4 linked regions of the Coturnix japonica genome follow. The protein of the gene in region 1 binds, or shares a complex with, the protein of each later gene. Links are inferred from orthologs where the notes say so. Each region holds a gene or a part of one and is shown in the gene's direction. Other genes may lie near its edges.

Region 1 (3,514 bases):
TATCCTGACAGGCTGCAGCCCAAAGTTTGACGAAATTGCTAGTAAAGCCTTTTAAAGTTGCTTAACTCCTGTCTCTTAGTAACTGTTTTGTCACTATGCAAGAACATGAGTAACTAATACTACAAAATACAGTATATAAATAAATGATACAAATAGGAAAGCGGGACATCTGTTTCTTTTTTTCCTATACTTCATCTGCTTGGTAGTATAAATATAAAACATAGTTTCTTCTGTCCAGGTTATTCTTATATCAAGGATATGCACCCAAGGGTATCTTATATACTTGGGTGCATAACACATCCTTCCCCAAACATTCCCTTCAGGATGTTTGTCAGTTCAAACTGGTATTCCCAGGAATGGGAAAATTCTGTCAGGCTATGTAAACTTGGTGAGGCTGTATCGCCACAGTCAGTACTGCTCTCCTCTGTGTGCCCACCAGAAGCTGTTCAGATTCATAGCCAGAGTCCATTACCTCTAAGAGACCCTGTAGCAGCCACCTCCCCATAAGCTCAACACAGCGTAGGATCTTAACTTGCCGTTTGGTTGCCCAAGCGTAAGGGAAAAAGGAAAGCACAAAGATTCACAGATGACTGGAGGATAGCTCATTAATAGCAAGACAGAACTGTATCCAAGACTGATTAGTAAGCAAAACATAAGTTATTGGAGGGAGATGTAATGACGTAAAGTGACAAATGTGCCTTCAATTCTTATTTCAGAGCCAAGGGGAACGTCTCCTTTCCAGAGAAGCCCCTGAAGAATTGAAGCAGCAGCCTCTTGCTCTCGGATACTTCGTGTCGACTGCCAAAGCTGAGAATCTTCCGCAGTGGTTCTGGTCATCCTGTCCTCAGGCACAAAACCAGTGTCCTCTCTTCCTGAAGGTCTGTCTTGCTGATCTTTCTCAGTGGAAAGGGGGGAAGAATTGTATTTAGATCCTACACAATTCCTTTGAAAATGACAGCTTTGTGTTGCTTCTTCTGACAGTTGGAAATAATGAAGAAATACATTTCCAGATATAAATTCACTGAAGACAGCTGGCTATTAGCATTTACTCTCTATTACCTGAAAATTGAATAGTTTGGCAGCTTCTAAATACAAAATCATCAATGCTGTATCCAGTCTTCCCCAATTTTAATTTCCTAAATTTCAGTTAGCCCACGACAGGAGACGCATTACCTCCTATTCTGCCATATCATATCATAATACAGAGATGAAAAGGTTAGAGAGCAGCACTCCCACACAGAGCTTTTGCTATGTGTTCCTATTCCTGTAGATGTAAAAAGTTGCATGGCGTTGTCTGTAGTATCAGAGTTTATCTGGTATTTGCCAATGCAGAAGACTGCTGTTTCTTGCAAGAGGTACTGGTATATTGCTTGCAATAGCTGAACTGGATCAAATACTACAGATTCATTCACCACTGTAGAGTGACATGCTGTTTTTTACTGGGATGTTGTCAGCTAGTGAGCGTGGAAAAAAGGTGAAAAATCTGCCTTGGATAGAGTCATGTGGATACTCGAGCAAGCAAAATAGAAAGTAATTAAGATAGTAACATTTTATTTATCCATTCTCAGCTTAATTGACACATACAAAGCATTTCGTGAAGTCTCTTAGCTAAATTCTCTCAAACATGTATATCAGGCAGTCATCAGAGTAAAGGTGTATAATATTTCTCAATTCTTATGCCAGAAAGCCATTTTAGGACTGATAATTTGAGAATGATTGTTGCAGTTGGTGTGGCAGGCTTTATGTTCATTTCAGCATCTGTTGGCAAAGTACTGCAGTACTCAGTTAAATGAGATCACCTACCAAGTTCCCCACGTTTTCATAGAGGCTTCCCAGAATTATGTGCTTCACTCCAAACCTGTGGAATAGAGATCTCAAACTAATGTGAAAAATAAGGCACTGTATTTTTGGACCTAGAGATGAAGTTTTATCCTAAACTTAAAACTACCTTTCTTTGTGAATGAGTAATAATACAAAAGCTGTGTTTCAGTTCCAGCTTTAAAAACACAGCAGAGCTCTAGGCAACTCCATGAATTCCTTCTGTAAGCCTATGCTAGATTTATACTGGAGAGAAGGAGCCACCACCCTTCCCCCTTAACCCAACGCAATTGCTTTCTCAGATCCAAGCTGAATTAAATGTTTAATTTGACTTGGAATGTACTGTTACGGTTTGGACAATTTTTAATAAAAGCAAGGGGCTGAATTCGTGCAGTAACTTGTAAGTGCTCAGAGAGCAGCTGGTGCTGTCTCCTTTGTGCTGCATGGCGCTGCAGTTAGGAAACCTGCACAACACGTGAGACGTAAAGATTTAAGTCATCTCTGTCTGATTTGGATTAAGTCTTTTTGAGCTGAAGCATTCCACCTCTGAGGTGCATGCTGCAACTGGCAGAGCACAAACTCAAGGTCTTGCCCCAGCAGGCCATGTGGTCTATTGAGTTACCCACTTGAAAGGCTTACATGGTTGCCTCTACCCCTGGCACATGATCAATATGAAATCGCTTTTCTGTTCCTGTGTAAACCAAGGCACAAACCTCACTCCAGAAACAAAGACTGATTGCTATTCAGAAGGCACGGTAGCAGAGAGCAAGAGGAAGGCTGTGCTGTGTTCTGGTTGGATATCTCAGTCCGTGGTGGGTCTGGTTCTCCGTGGTGGGTCTACTAAATGGGAGAGTTTGAAGAATTAAAATCCTATATTGCTGAAATGCAAAAAGAAACACTGACATACTCCAAGTGTTTTCCCTCATCACTTCTTCCCTGACTGAAATTAAGAGTGGAATTCAGGATGCTTTTTAAAGGTCCTTAATTCCAATCAGAAAAAGCAGTCATTTTATTCAAAAGTGTAATCGTTATGGAACTTCAAAATGCACTTGGTCCTGGTGGGTTCCACAGAGAACTGCCAGCTGTCCTGAGACAATTCAGGGCGTATTTGTTCACTGTGAATCTTCATACTTGCTATGCAAAGAGTTAAATGGTTCTTTTTTGTTTCGTTTGATTTTACTTTCACAGGCCTCGTTGCATCATCACATCTCCATAGCACAGACAGATGAACTACTACCTGCCAGAAGTTCTCAGCGAGTTCCTCACCCCCTTGACTCTAAAACTACATCAGATGTCTTGAGGTAATGCCTTCTCACTTTTTGCATTTCATCTCTTGACTTATGGGGACTCAGGAATGAAATTTCAGAGGGACCTTTTTTTATGCTTATCAACAGTTTACACCTCTATTATATCCTACACGTGTTTTTTAATAAACAAAATTACATATTACATATACCACAGATCCTATGATCACAACAAAAGAACAGAGCTTTGAGGGTTACTTCTTCACTTTTCTATCCTACTCTGCAAAGCAATGAAGAGGAATAATTTGTGCCTTACAAAGAGAGTGCCTTGGTTTGCCTCCCAAAGATGATTTGTTTTAGCTGAAAGTCTGAGCTGGCCTGTGTAAATAATTATTTTTAGTCACCAAATCAAACTGAGTTATCAAAGGAGGTAGAAGTTCTCTCCTGATACC
Region 2 (4,109 bases), on another chromosome or scaffold:
GAGCAACCTTGGATACCATAAACTGGTCTATCATGAAACTCTCTATAACTTAAATTGGAATGATAGAAAGCTACCATTCTTTATTATAATCAAGTCTGGATGCATGGGTGTTGAGCTCCACCACCATTTTGTGCATACCTTGCACAAAAGATATTCAGTTCATTTACATTACTTGTGTTACATACCCAGAGGTTTTCCCAGAGGCATATACATATTCAATACTTGCTTTCACAATGGATTCCAAGCAGAACTTCCTTATCTACTTAGTACAAAGACTTAACAGAACTCTATCTGTTTGGTACAAAAACACAGACTCTTCCTGTTGTCTAAACAAATGACAGGGTTATCCATCAAGAGACTTACCAAGCTTAATGATATCATTACAGCTTGCACCAGCTCCTGTCCTCCTGCACCAACGCAGGGGGCTGCTGGGCTGTTTCTCTCACATTTCTCACTCACATTGCCCAGTACAGATGCTTTCTCTTTTCTTTAGTTCGTTTTCCCAATGGGACACACAGTGTTGCTTGTGGCTGAGTTCTGCCCAGCATCAGGTCTCTGTTGGAGCAGCTGGAGCTGGTTCTCATCTGATGCGAGGCAGTGCTGGTCCCTGCTCACAGAGGCCATCTCTGCAGTTCCTACTGCCTTGGCACACAAACCCAATACAATGAGAGTTAATTCATGATCTCAGTCACTGTTGGGACGTCTTATGGAGTTCAAAACTACCTTGTAACCCAATTTTAATGATAAAAATGGGCTTGGTACATCTTAGGGCATGCTGAAGACATGGCTGAAAACTGCTGTTATCCTGTGAGCTAACAGATAGGGTCCTCACGCTATAAAATGCACTTGACAACCTCTTCAGGCCTCCATTTCCCATCCTATGATGGGAATGGATTTTGAGTTTGACAAAAAATTGCGGTAGGTAATTCTCTTCAGTGCTACCATTTAGTAAATAGACCAGCCAATCTGCCCACTGTGAGCAAGAGCTGCTCCTACACGTTACAGAATCACGCAGAATCACAGAATGACCCGGGTTGGAAGGGACCTCAAGGATCACGTAGTTCCAACCCCCCTGCCTGGCAGGGCCACCAAACATACACCTTTACTAGATCAGGTTGCCCAGGGCCCCGTCCAACCTGGTCTTGAACACCTCCAAGGATGGGGCATCCGTCGTTCGACTGATAGAACTAACAGCAGCCTCGGCACAGGGATGCAGTGCTGACCCTCCATACCAGCACCCAACACATACACGCACTGCTGTACGCGCAGGCGCTGCGCTCACCCCGCTCCGCCGGAACTCCGTGACAGCCGGGGGGAGGGAACTTCCGTCGGGAAGGGAGTCCTGCCGCTCCGTGTCCATCTAACGGAGGGCCCGGTGAGGCCCGGCCGGGGCTATGGTGCCTATGGAAACGCAGCTGCAGAGCATCTTCGAAGAGGTGGTGGTGAGTGTGTCCCGGCCGGGCCGCGGCCTTTCTAGGCTGCTCAGCCGGCATCCCGCAGTGGGCCCTGTGCTCTAGGGGAGCTGCTTCCTGAGGCCCGCGGTTGGGGGCGAGCGGCGGAGGAGGTAAAGAAAGGGAGAAGGGGTTGGGGTATCGCCATGGCTGCGTGGTGCGGGGAGAGGCCGGCGCTGGGAAGGCTGCCCTCATCCTCGGCTGTGTGCGGTGGGACCGCGGAGTGCGGTGCGGAAACGATTCCTCAGAGCAAAAATTCCTTCTCTGAGCGGTTCTGTAAGGCGTTTGAGGCTGGTGCTGAATTAGGGGCAGCTTGCAAGGAGAAAGAATCCATCTGCATAGTGGAAGGGGAAGAAGATGAGCTTAGAAGAAGGAAAAGATAAGCAGAACTATGAGTTAATTAGCAAGGCAACTCTGTTGGCAGTTTCTTAGTAGATTTAGGTAGCTCGTGGATATTAGTGAGTGTTGTGGCTAGAAATACTGGGATGATATTTGATGAGGATGTTCAGAACAGGAGCTTGATTGATGTCAGGTGGAACCAGCAGTATCTGGTCTGGAAGGGATGCGTATGTCTCCTAGAGCAATGCAACTGAAAATCACAGAGTGAATGGTTTGGGCTGGAAGGGACCTTTAAGATCATCTGCTTCCAGCCAGTTCCTGCTGAAGACAGGAACACCTCTCTCTAGACTAGGTTGCTCAAAGCCCCATCCAGCCTGGCATTGAAAGCTTTCAGGGAGGGGGCATCAACAGCCTCACAGGGCAACCTGTTCCAGTGTTACCATTCTCACAGTAAGGAATTTATTCCTAATATCTATTCTAAATCTACTCACCTCCAGTTTTCTCCCCTTGTCCTGTTGCTGTCTGCCTTTGTAAAAAGTCCCTCCCCAGCTGATGTGAAAATGGTTGGAACACTGAGTTTTTCTTTCTGTGTGTGAATTATAAAATGCAAATGCAATATATGCTTTTCTTTAAGTGATGTTAAGCTTATGGAATGCTTTTTGTCCATACTTGATGATTTGTTTGTTTTGTTCTTGACATTGTCATTTTGTTCTTGACATGTTATTGTCACACAGGCTTTATGAGGAGCGGCTGAGAGAGCTGGGATTGTTCAGCCTGGAGAAGAGGAGGCTCAGGGGAGACCTTATTGCTCTCTATAACTTCCTGAAGGGAGGTTGTAGTGAGCTTGGGGTCAGCCTTTTCTCTCATGTAGACAGTGATAGAACTAGAGGCAATGGTTCCAAGCTGCGGCAGGGGGAGATTCAGGCTGGACATTAGGAAGTATTACTTCTCGGAAAGGGTAGTCAGGCATTGGAATGCACTGCCCAGGGAGTTGGTGGAGTCACCGACCATGGGAGTGTTCAAGAAACGTTTGGATGTTGTGTTGAGTGATATGATTTAACTGGGAAGTATTGGTGATGGTTGGACTGGATGATCTTTTAGGTCTTTTCCAACCCTGAGAATTCTGTGATTCTGTGTTCTGTTTTTGCATGTTTAACACCATGATTTGACTGTGTGGTCACTGCCTTTCTTTTTTTTTAGCAGTATTTTTTTTGCCTGCAGTTGTTAAGGGACAACAAAGTCTTAAGCTTTCCTTGCATTTGCAGCTGAGAAAATATCAAGTTGTCACATTCACTGCTTCTATTACTGACTGAATGGACAGCAGTGAAACTTAAGTTTCCGTGCACAGTGGATGAATATCATGTTCTCTTGAGGTGTTTCCAGGCCTTGCAATTTGAAAGGATCACCATAATTTCTTTATTTTTCAAACACTGTTTATTTCTTCCATGTAATGATGGAAACACATAGTGGTTACCGATCACATCTGAGTGTAGTATGAAATTTCTATAGAAAGCAAAACAATCTGTAGGGTACTATTTTCAGGAATTTTGCCTATGCATTAGGATAATGCTGTAGAAACTTAATCTCTAAGTGTGAAAGAAGAGCTCAAGTTGCAGAACTGAACAATTTTTCCAACCTTGGGACATAAAATAATCTCTGGGTGTTTATAGGGAGGGGAACAGAGGAGCCTTAACCTGGATCCTCAAAGCAAGCAGCCTCAATGTTGAGACCTGAGCGTAACAGAAGAAACGCACCTGCTTCTGATTCAGTCCTGAAACAGTAGGATTGTTTTTCTTCAGTGTTGTTGCATCCTGGTAGTGAGACAGTCATAGAGAGCCTTTTCAGTCATACAGAGGAGCTATGAGATATGGTTTAGTGGCTTGTGGTAGCAAGGGCAATGGGAGGACAGTTGGACTAGATGATCTCGTAGGTCCTTTCCAACCTTGTGATTCTGTGATTCACAGTAACTCACTTTAGGTTTTTCTCTTGCAGAAAACTGAGGTAATAGAAGAAGCTTTTCCTGGGTGAGTGTAAATGTTAGTTTACTTTCGTGACTTTCTGTGTATATTTCTATTTGTGCTCTTCCTTTGCTGTAGTGCTAATAACCAACTTTCTTATTTGAATTAGTATGTTTATGGACACTCCTGAAGATGAGAGAACCAAACTGATCAGCTGCCTGGGTGCTTTTAGGCAGTTCTGGAGCAGTCTTTCCCAGGTTAACATTTCATTTGCTTCTTCAGTATACTTTATATACTTTTGGGGGGCGGTGGAGGGGAAGATCGGGGTATAGTAAAACTTTGAGTAAAGGACAAATCCTTC
Region 3 (3,299 bases), on another chromosome or scaffold:
TCATCTCAGTCATACTACCAAGAATGAAAATGAAACCCCTTTTTCTTTTTGCATTTGTTGGCCTCTACGTGCAAACTAGGAAAATGACTCAAGATCAAAAGGACGTGTGAAAAACAAATGCTTGGCTCCCTGCTACCTTTTGAAGTCACAGCACTGAGAGCTGTACTGAGCAGTTCACAGAGTGCAAGGCAGCTGATAATCGAGCTCAGCTCGTGGTATGAGAATGTGAAATCAAAGTCTGGAAAGTCTAACAATAGCAAAGACTTGTTAATATCCCCCACCAGGTGGGTTTTCTCATTCCTCTCTAGAAGTGGTGCTTTTAACTCCTTGTCTGTGGGGTTTGGAGTTGCAACAGTTTGCTCTGCAAACCAACACCTGCCAATCCTACAAAGTAGTGAGAGTGCACTGAAGTAATATTTAGAAACAACTCTGCCCTTGATAGGGCACGTAGACAGCGGCTCTCTTACCCTTATTCCTTCTTATGAAGGAGGTTACTGCCATCTGCTGAGGAAAAAAGGAAATCAGAGCACAAAAGCCGCATTGCCAGACCAGTGGCCATCTGCAGAAGCGCTGCCAGCCAGCCCGAGGTCCCACGGCAATATGGAAGACACAGATAGTTGTTTTTTTCCTTAAAATCTGTCTTAAACAAAGAAATGGAAGAAAAGCAAGAAGTTCCATCGGTTTGTTGCAGACTTTATGCATCCAGGCTGCATGTGTTCAGCTATAGAAAGGATGCTAACACTTCCCAGGGTGATGCTTTCACTTTGTGATGGAATAACACCCAAATTTCTGTTGCATGGAAGCTCTACATATATTCCCTGCATCATTCAGCAGTTAAAGCATTGCCATCACACCGGCGGCTCCCCACGGTCTGGGCACTGAGCTCACCAGAGTCCAGGAAGCGTCTGAACGAGGGCAGTTCTACGAGTCTATGAAAGCAGTCCTGGAATACCAAATACTAAACACCAATTCATGCAGAAGTTGGTCTCACAGGGAGTCTGATGCCGACAAGAGTCGGGCCGGCCGCTCCCATCTCTGCCATTCGAGGATCTCTGCCATTAGAGGACCCTGCTGGGACCCCCGCTGAGATCCCTGCCGTGCCCCTGGCAGCCGCAATAGGGCGCCATAGCCCAGGCTGTGAGTGGAACGAGCTCCTGACTGGCATTGCGGGCATCCAACCAAAGTCTACGACGCCATTTGAGCTGCGAGCCAATGGAGGGGAGGAGGAAGGAGAGCAGTTGCCGGATGTGAGGTGTTGGTGTCGGTGGTGGCGGTGGTGTTTTCAGCGCGGTGTGCAGGTGAGTGGGGTGTTTTCTTTGGGCCTTGTGTGTAGGACCGGCCCAGCCTTTGTTTCTGTTCAGCATTGCGGCTTTGGGCCCTCCCGGAGCCGTGCTGTAGTGATGGGCCGGGGGGGAGGGGGGTGCTGCTTTAAGGGCTGCCTCTCCCTGCCTGCCGTTGTCTGCCGCTCCCAGCCCTGGGATGCGGGCTTAGCGGATCAGGCCTCTCCTTCCTTCTGTGCCTCCTCGTTGGCAGGTCTGGTTTGAGAAGTGCTTAATGTGCTGTGTATGTCAGTGCAAAGCTGACGTGGATTTATTGGGGAGTTTCCTGCTATTTGCGTGCTGAAGAATCTCCTGTCTGGTTTGTTTTCTTAGCTTCATGCGTGCTGTGGAGTTGTCGCATAAGTTATGTAATGCACGTTTCTTTTCTATCCACTAGGTATTTTAATCCCCAAAGATGGGTGAACCTCAGCAAGTGAGTGCCCTCCCTCCGCCTCCAATGCAGTATATAAAGGAATACACCGATGAAAACATACGCAAAGGTCTGGCCCCAAAGCCACCTCCACCTGTGAAAGACAGTTACATGATGTTTGGTAATCAGTTCCAGTGTGACGATTTAATTATCCGACCTTTGGAAAGCCAGGGTATTGAGCGGCTGCATCCCATGCAGTTTGATCACAAAAAGGAATTGAGGAAACTGAACATGTCTATCTTAGTCAACTTTTTGGATCTCTTGGATATCTTGATAAGGAGTCCGGGGAGTATAAAGCGAGAAGAGAAACTGGAGGACCTGAAACTGCTTTTTGTTCACGTCCATCATCTTATAAACGAGTACCGTCCTCACCAAGCTAGGGAGACCCTGCGAGTCATGATGGAAGTGCAGAAACGTCAGCGTCTGGAAACTGCAGAGCGATTTCAGAAGCATTTAGAGCGAGTTGTGGAGATGATTCAGAACTGCCTGGCGTCCTTGCCTGATGATCTTCCTCATTCAGAGGGGGGACTGGGAGTGAAAACAGAACCAATGGACACTGATGACGGCAACAACTGCATTGGACAGAGTGAAAAACAGAGAGAACGTTCTGGCTGCAAGAGAGATCAGGTGTTAGACAAAGATGCAGCTATGTGCAGCATTATTGATGAAATGACATGAAGGAATCGTGTCTTATGTTAACTTACAATAGAGAGAGGCCAAATGGATTCTGAGGGTACATGCTGTATTTTGTTTGAAGCGTTCACACTGACTTGGGGGGTGGGTGTGAGCTGCTAAGCAGGTGAGGATATTTAATATTTTGTGTGAGTTATATGTGTATTGGTCAAAACATAACTCTGCTTTGTGCAGCGTGGATGCTGTTAGGTTTTTTGTATAACGTTGTTTTGTCACTTGCAGCTTTCTGGGATGTGCTTCATTTTGTAAATGCCGTGTGCTGCTGGAAGCAGGGGGTTTGGCTGACTGAAATGGAAGCTGACAATTCCTGCATTTCAAATAAATGTTAGTTGTTTACACGTTAAATGGGTCTTTTCAGTTATTCTAGATTGAAGATGAAATCAATATGAAGCCTGAGAAATCCATTCCTTTCTAACTTTTTGTAGTAATGTAACAATGTTAAAGAACTTAAGAATTGCTTTATTACACATGTAATGTGGTGTAACTTGTCTGTGCCTGAAGTCTGTCAAATGGAAGCTACATCAGTTGTGTTTAAAGAGAACTGGACTTGGATCAAGCCCATGGCACAAAGAGTGATTTGATAATGGATAAGTGGCTTCGTTACTCAAGCCCTCCTGTCTGTAGCATGTCTGCTTTCCAAACTAGATGTAGCACCTTTAAAAAAAAGAGAGAAAGAAAAGAAACAATCAACTTTGTGGATGAGGGAACTTACTATAACTACTTGTAACTCTCGTTATGCAAATTATAACTTGGATAATTCAGCTGTTTTCAGGCATGCAGATTTATTTAAATGTGCAGGTAGATTTTAACCATTGGGTGGTGGGATTGAGATCGCTGTAGCTAAAGATGAACTGAAG
Region 4 (4,032 bases), on another chromosome or scaffold:
AGTTCAGCTCCTATAAAAAGTGAAACTGAGGCAGTGATGTTATGATTTGATGATGATAAAAAGGAAAATTCTTGGCTCAAACACACAGCTTAATACCTCTTCCCTGAAAGTCTGACTAAGCTAATATTTAAAAGCATAAATAAATCCAGCTTTTCCTAGAGAATGTTCTTAGTTTTTGTAATATGACTCCAACTTTCAATTTTGTTCCTAGTTTTGATGGCCAAGAATTGCGTTCTTGCACTTTACTCTGGCAAACCTACGTAGTAATTTAATTCATGTGACCAAGCCTTTCTTAGGATTCTCTCCTCTGAAGTCAGTCTTGGGAGATACATCGTGTTCCAGAATAGCACTGCCAATGCGTGGGATATGTTTGATCTCTGCTTTTAGACAAAAGTCTGTATTTACTGGGGAGTGACCTGCTAATTCTGTTATAGTAATGGTAGTACTCCACAACCACTAAAACCTTGGGGAAAAAAGAAACAAAACACAAAATTATTTTATTAAGGAAAGCAATGCAGAAGTCTTTTTTTAGGTGGTCTTATAGCCTAATTTCTATTGGGGCTGGAGGGGAACAGTTACACTACATAGAAAGAGATAGCACTACAGGAAAATGCTGAGACACTGAAAATAGTTTAACAAATCACAAATTTTAAAAAAGAATTAGGATTCGTGTTGAGCCTGTATAGTGCAAACTGTTACACAAGTGCCTAATAATGCAATCATAGCAGCAATGGAACTCAGGTAGCTTGACAGTGCTAAACCCCACCAGTCTTTGTTTTAACCAAGATATGAACATCCAGTGTGTGACCCCAGACATGAATGCAGCATTAGGAATAAATCTGCAACCTAAGTGCTGAACTCTTCTCCAGGTGCAATAGCATAGTGCTGTTCTGCACCCCTGGCGCATCTGTTTAACTGGTTTCACTACGACATAACTTCTTAATAAATAAACTGCAGAGGTTGTGTGAGATCAGCTCAGCATGAGCTGCCAGGGGGAAAGGGGAAAGGGAACGGGAAAGGGGAAAAGGGAAAAAGGGAAAGGGAAAAGGGAAAAAGGAAAAGGGGAAAGGGAAGAAAGAAAAGCACACACATGCCTAGGAAAAAATCCATCCCAGAACATTGCTCCTACAGGTACCTTCCAATCGTACTGCCTGTCTGGTAACAGCTCTCTTTCAAGACAAGGGGAAAAAAAGTTGCTCCAACTTTAGTTTATTTCAAAAGGTCATTTTCTACACAACTCGCATCATTAACGCAGCTCCTCACCACCACAGACCTTCCCATCTTGCCTCGTTGCGCCTCCCGCCTAACTCCCGCCTGCCGACAGCGGGCGCTCCCGCCGCCATTTTGAGGCCGGGCGGGGAGCGGAGCCCAGCACGCCGCCATGGACGCAGGTGAGCGGCGCGGTGCGGTGCGGTTCGGGCAGGGCGAGCGACTCCGGGCCACGGAGAGCGTCGGTGGTCCTGCCGTGCAGAGTTCGGGCGGTTCGGGAGCGATGGGCCGACAGGCTCCGAATCGTTTTCCTCGGGAGGGGCCCGGGGCGGTCCTGCTGCGCTGCCCTCCCGGCTTGGCCCTTCTCAGGCCGTTGGCCCCGTTGGGGCCCTTCGCGACGTTCATGGAGACACCGCGGCTCTTACCTGCCCGGACGCCATGGCAGCGGACATCCCACGTTGCATCTGTGGTCGAGGAGCTGAATCTTTTATAGACCCCGAGTGTTTGGATGGAGGGGACTTTATTTACAGATCGGACCTCCCGCCAGAGCGGCCTGCGCGGTGCCCCTTCCAGCCTTCCCTTGTGCAGCTCCAGGGATGGGGCCCCCACAGAGAGGGGCGGCCCGTGCCGGGGCCTCACCGCCCCTCGGAGAAGAATTTCTTCCTAACATCTAACCTGAGTTTCCTATTGTTTGAGTTTAAAGCTGTTCCTTCTTGTTCTGTTGTTTTCAGTCAGGGTGGAAAGTCAACATATTTTTCTATAAGCTCCCTTTCCACGCTGAAAGACCAGAGTGAGATCTCCCTGAGCCTTCTCCAGGCTGAGCAAGCCCAGCTCCCTCACCCTTTTGTCATAGGACAGCAGAATCTTGTGCTGACCCCTGGGTCTGTCATCAGTGCCTACTGTACACCAATAGTGTGAGAACACTGCAGGATTCTCACTAAACTGAGACATCTCTGTACAAAACAAACAAAACAAAAAGCAGCCTCACGGTAAGCATTTCTTAAATTATGTGCAAGGAGGCTTTCAGTGAGCTGCTGGTAGTGTTCTTTTCTTGCCTTCTTATATTTTCCTTGCACTAAAAGCAGGCCCCTTTCCCTTCCCTTTTCATATATTCTACATAAAGTGTCAGAGAGCATTTCTCCATTATTTGCATCGTTTTTAGTTGTTAAAAAAACAAACAAACAATAGTACATGTATTAACATGGGCCCAACACTTATTCATGTAATAGAAAAGACTGCTAGATGAGCCCATACTTGTGGGCTCTTGGTGCTTTATCTCCTCTCTAAACGTTTCTATTTTTGTGGCTCAAGTTGAGAAACTTACTTTTAAATCTGCCATGTAAGTCCAGTTTTTACTGTTTTTTTTTTTTCTCTTGTATTCAGATGATACAGGAAATCGACTTAGGTTCCAGTTGGAGTTGGAGTTTGTTCAGTGCCTAGCAAATCCCAATTACCTCAACTGTGAGTACTTAATGTCAGGGATCCTGAGAAGTTAATGTTATTTAACAGTTTAATGATTACGTGTAATGGTAAACTGTGTGTGTGTGTGTGTGTGTGTGTGTGTGTGCAGAGGCGAAGGGTAAACAAAGAAAAGGGAAGAGATCTTTAAGGAAAAAAGTAGTCTGAGGATAATTTAATTTGTCCGAATTTCAAAGGTGAGGTAGAAGAGGGAGGAGATGACACCTTTAAAATGTGAAATGATTATTTCTTGAAATAAAACACAACTGTCTGGTGGAGAATAAGTGCACATCTGTAGTAGAAAATAAATAATAATAATTACATTTCAATCTTAGAAGTACTCATATCTGAAACCAACATTTCACTAATGCTTATAATAGTTTCAGGTGGAATTCTTAATTTCTTTGGTTTTCCCTGACAGTTTTGATGTCAGAAGTTCCTATTTTTGAAGACATCGCATCCTTGTTGCTGTATAAAAGTTATATGCTAACTCACTATGCTTAACTTGTATTAGAGTGTTGACTTAAGATATATTTTTCCCTTTGTGTTTTTTTTTTATTGAGTTGTAAAAAATTCCTTGTCTCTTATTTCAGTTCTTGCACAAAGAGGATACTTCAAAGACAAAGCTTTTGTAAACTATCTTAAATATTTACTGTATTGGAAAGAACCTGAATATGCAAAATACTTGAAGTAAGTATTAAAAGCCCTCAGGTTTCTGCATTTTAATGATTTTTACCTTCTCTTATGCACTGTAAAGTAGCATGTGCATATTTGATTTCTCCCTGCAGCCAAAACATGCACTGTGTTTATATGCAGTATAAATTTTCCTGTTTCCTGTAGTCTGGGATAGGCACAATTAAAGAACGTTTCATTCTTGACATATGCATGGAATTTTCCATTTGCAACCTTTATCTGCACCTTCTATCTGCATAAAGCAAGATTACTGAACATCACGGGACAAAACTACTTCAGCCCATTAAGAACATTCTGAGAGTGATTTTTGCCCTGTTGATAGCTACACAAAGAATCGTTTTTTTTCATTTTTTTAATTAATGTTTAAACTCAGTTATTGAAATTTTTTTTGTTTACTTCAAATGAGCTCTGGAAAGAGCTATTTAATTAATTAGTTTTTGTTTTAATGAAATCTAGTATTTATAAAAGTTATTTTAATCAGCTCCGTGTATGTATTTATATTGTTATTGGATTCCCTGTTTTCTAGCCTTGTAGTTACTGAAGGTATTAAGTTACAGTGTATGGAAAAGGTACAGCGCTCACTGTTTCAGGTACTTGAGTAAGGCACTAAATGACTAAAATAATGGAGAGATACTGGAGACTCCAGTTCTAGTGCACCTTGTAAATTGTGTT

What was found. The genes of interacting proteins can lie anywhere in the genome.
Region 2: MED13L (region 1) and MED23 share a complex: the UniProt entries of both Homo sapiens proteins name them as parts of the mediator complex. The link is inferred for Coturnix japonica from reciprocal best matches to the Homo sapiens genes MED13L and MED23.
Region 3: MED13L (region 1) and MED7 share a complex: the UniProt entries of both Homo sapiens proteins name them as parts of the mediator complex. The link is inferred for Coturnix japonica from reciprocal best matches to the Homo sapiens genes MED13L and MED7.
Region 4: MED13L (region 1) and MED31 share a complex: the UniProt entries of both Homo sapiens proteins name them as parts of the mediator complex. The link is inferred for Coturnix japonica from reciprocal best matches to the Homo sapiens genes MED13L and MED31.

The regions. Positions count from the first base shown.
Region 1 is NC_029530.1:10,495,385-10,498,898, forward strand, and holds part of MED13L (mediator of RNA polymerase II transcription subunit 13-like), read left to right. Parts: intron 1-716; coding exon 717-878; intron 879-3,006; coding exon 3,007-3,119; intron 3,120-3,514. UniProt on the Homo sapiens protein: Component of the Mediator complex, a coactivator involved in the regulated transcription of nearly all RNA polymerase II-dependent genes.
Region 2 is NC_029518.1:51,917,783-51,921,891, forward strand, and holds the start of MED23 (mediator of RNA polymerase II transcription subunit 23), read left to right. Parts: upstream 1-1,297; 5' UTR 1,298-1,394; coding exon 1,395-1,442; intron 1,443-3,782; coding exon 3,783-3,814; intron 3,815-3,917; coding exon 3,918-4,005; intron 4,006-4,109. UniProt on the Homo sapiens protein: Required for transcriptional activation subsequent to the assembly of the pre-initiation complex. Component of the Mediator complex, a coactivator involved in the regulated transcription of nearly all RNA polymerase II-dependent genes.
Region 3 is NC_029528.1:6,561,710-6,565,008, reverse strand, and holds MED7 (mediator of RNA polymerase II transcription subunit 7), read left to right. Parts: upstream 1-1,192; 5' UTR 1,193-1,298; intron 1,299-1,505; exon of another isoform or gene 1,506-1,533; intron 1,534-1,716; 5' UTR 1,717-1,734; coding exon 1,735-2,427; 3' UTR 2,428-2,787; downstream 2,788-3,299. UniProt on the Homo sapiens protein: Component of the Mediator complex, a coactivator involved in the regulated transcription of nearly all RNA polymerase II-dependent genes.
Region 4 is NC_029534.1:8,576,572-8,580,603, forward strand, and holds the start of MED31 (mediator of RNA polymerase II transcription subunit 31), read left to right. Parts: upstream 1-1,220; 5' UTR 1,221-1,381; coding exon 1,382-1,391; intron 1,392-2,592; coding exon 2,593-2,670; intron 2,671-3,260; coding exon 3,261-3,357; intron 3,358-4,032. UniProt on the Homo sapiens protein: Component of the Mediator complex, a coactivator involved in the regulated transcription of nearly all RNA polymerase II-dependent genes.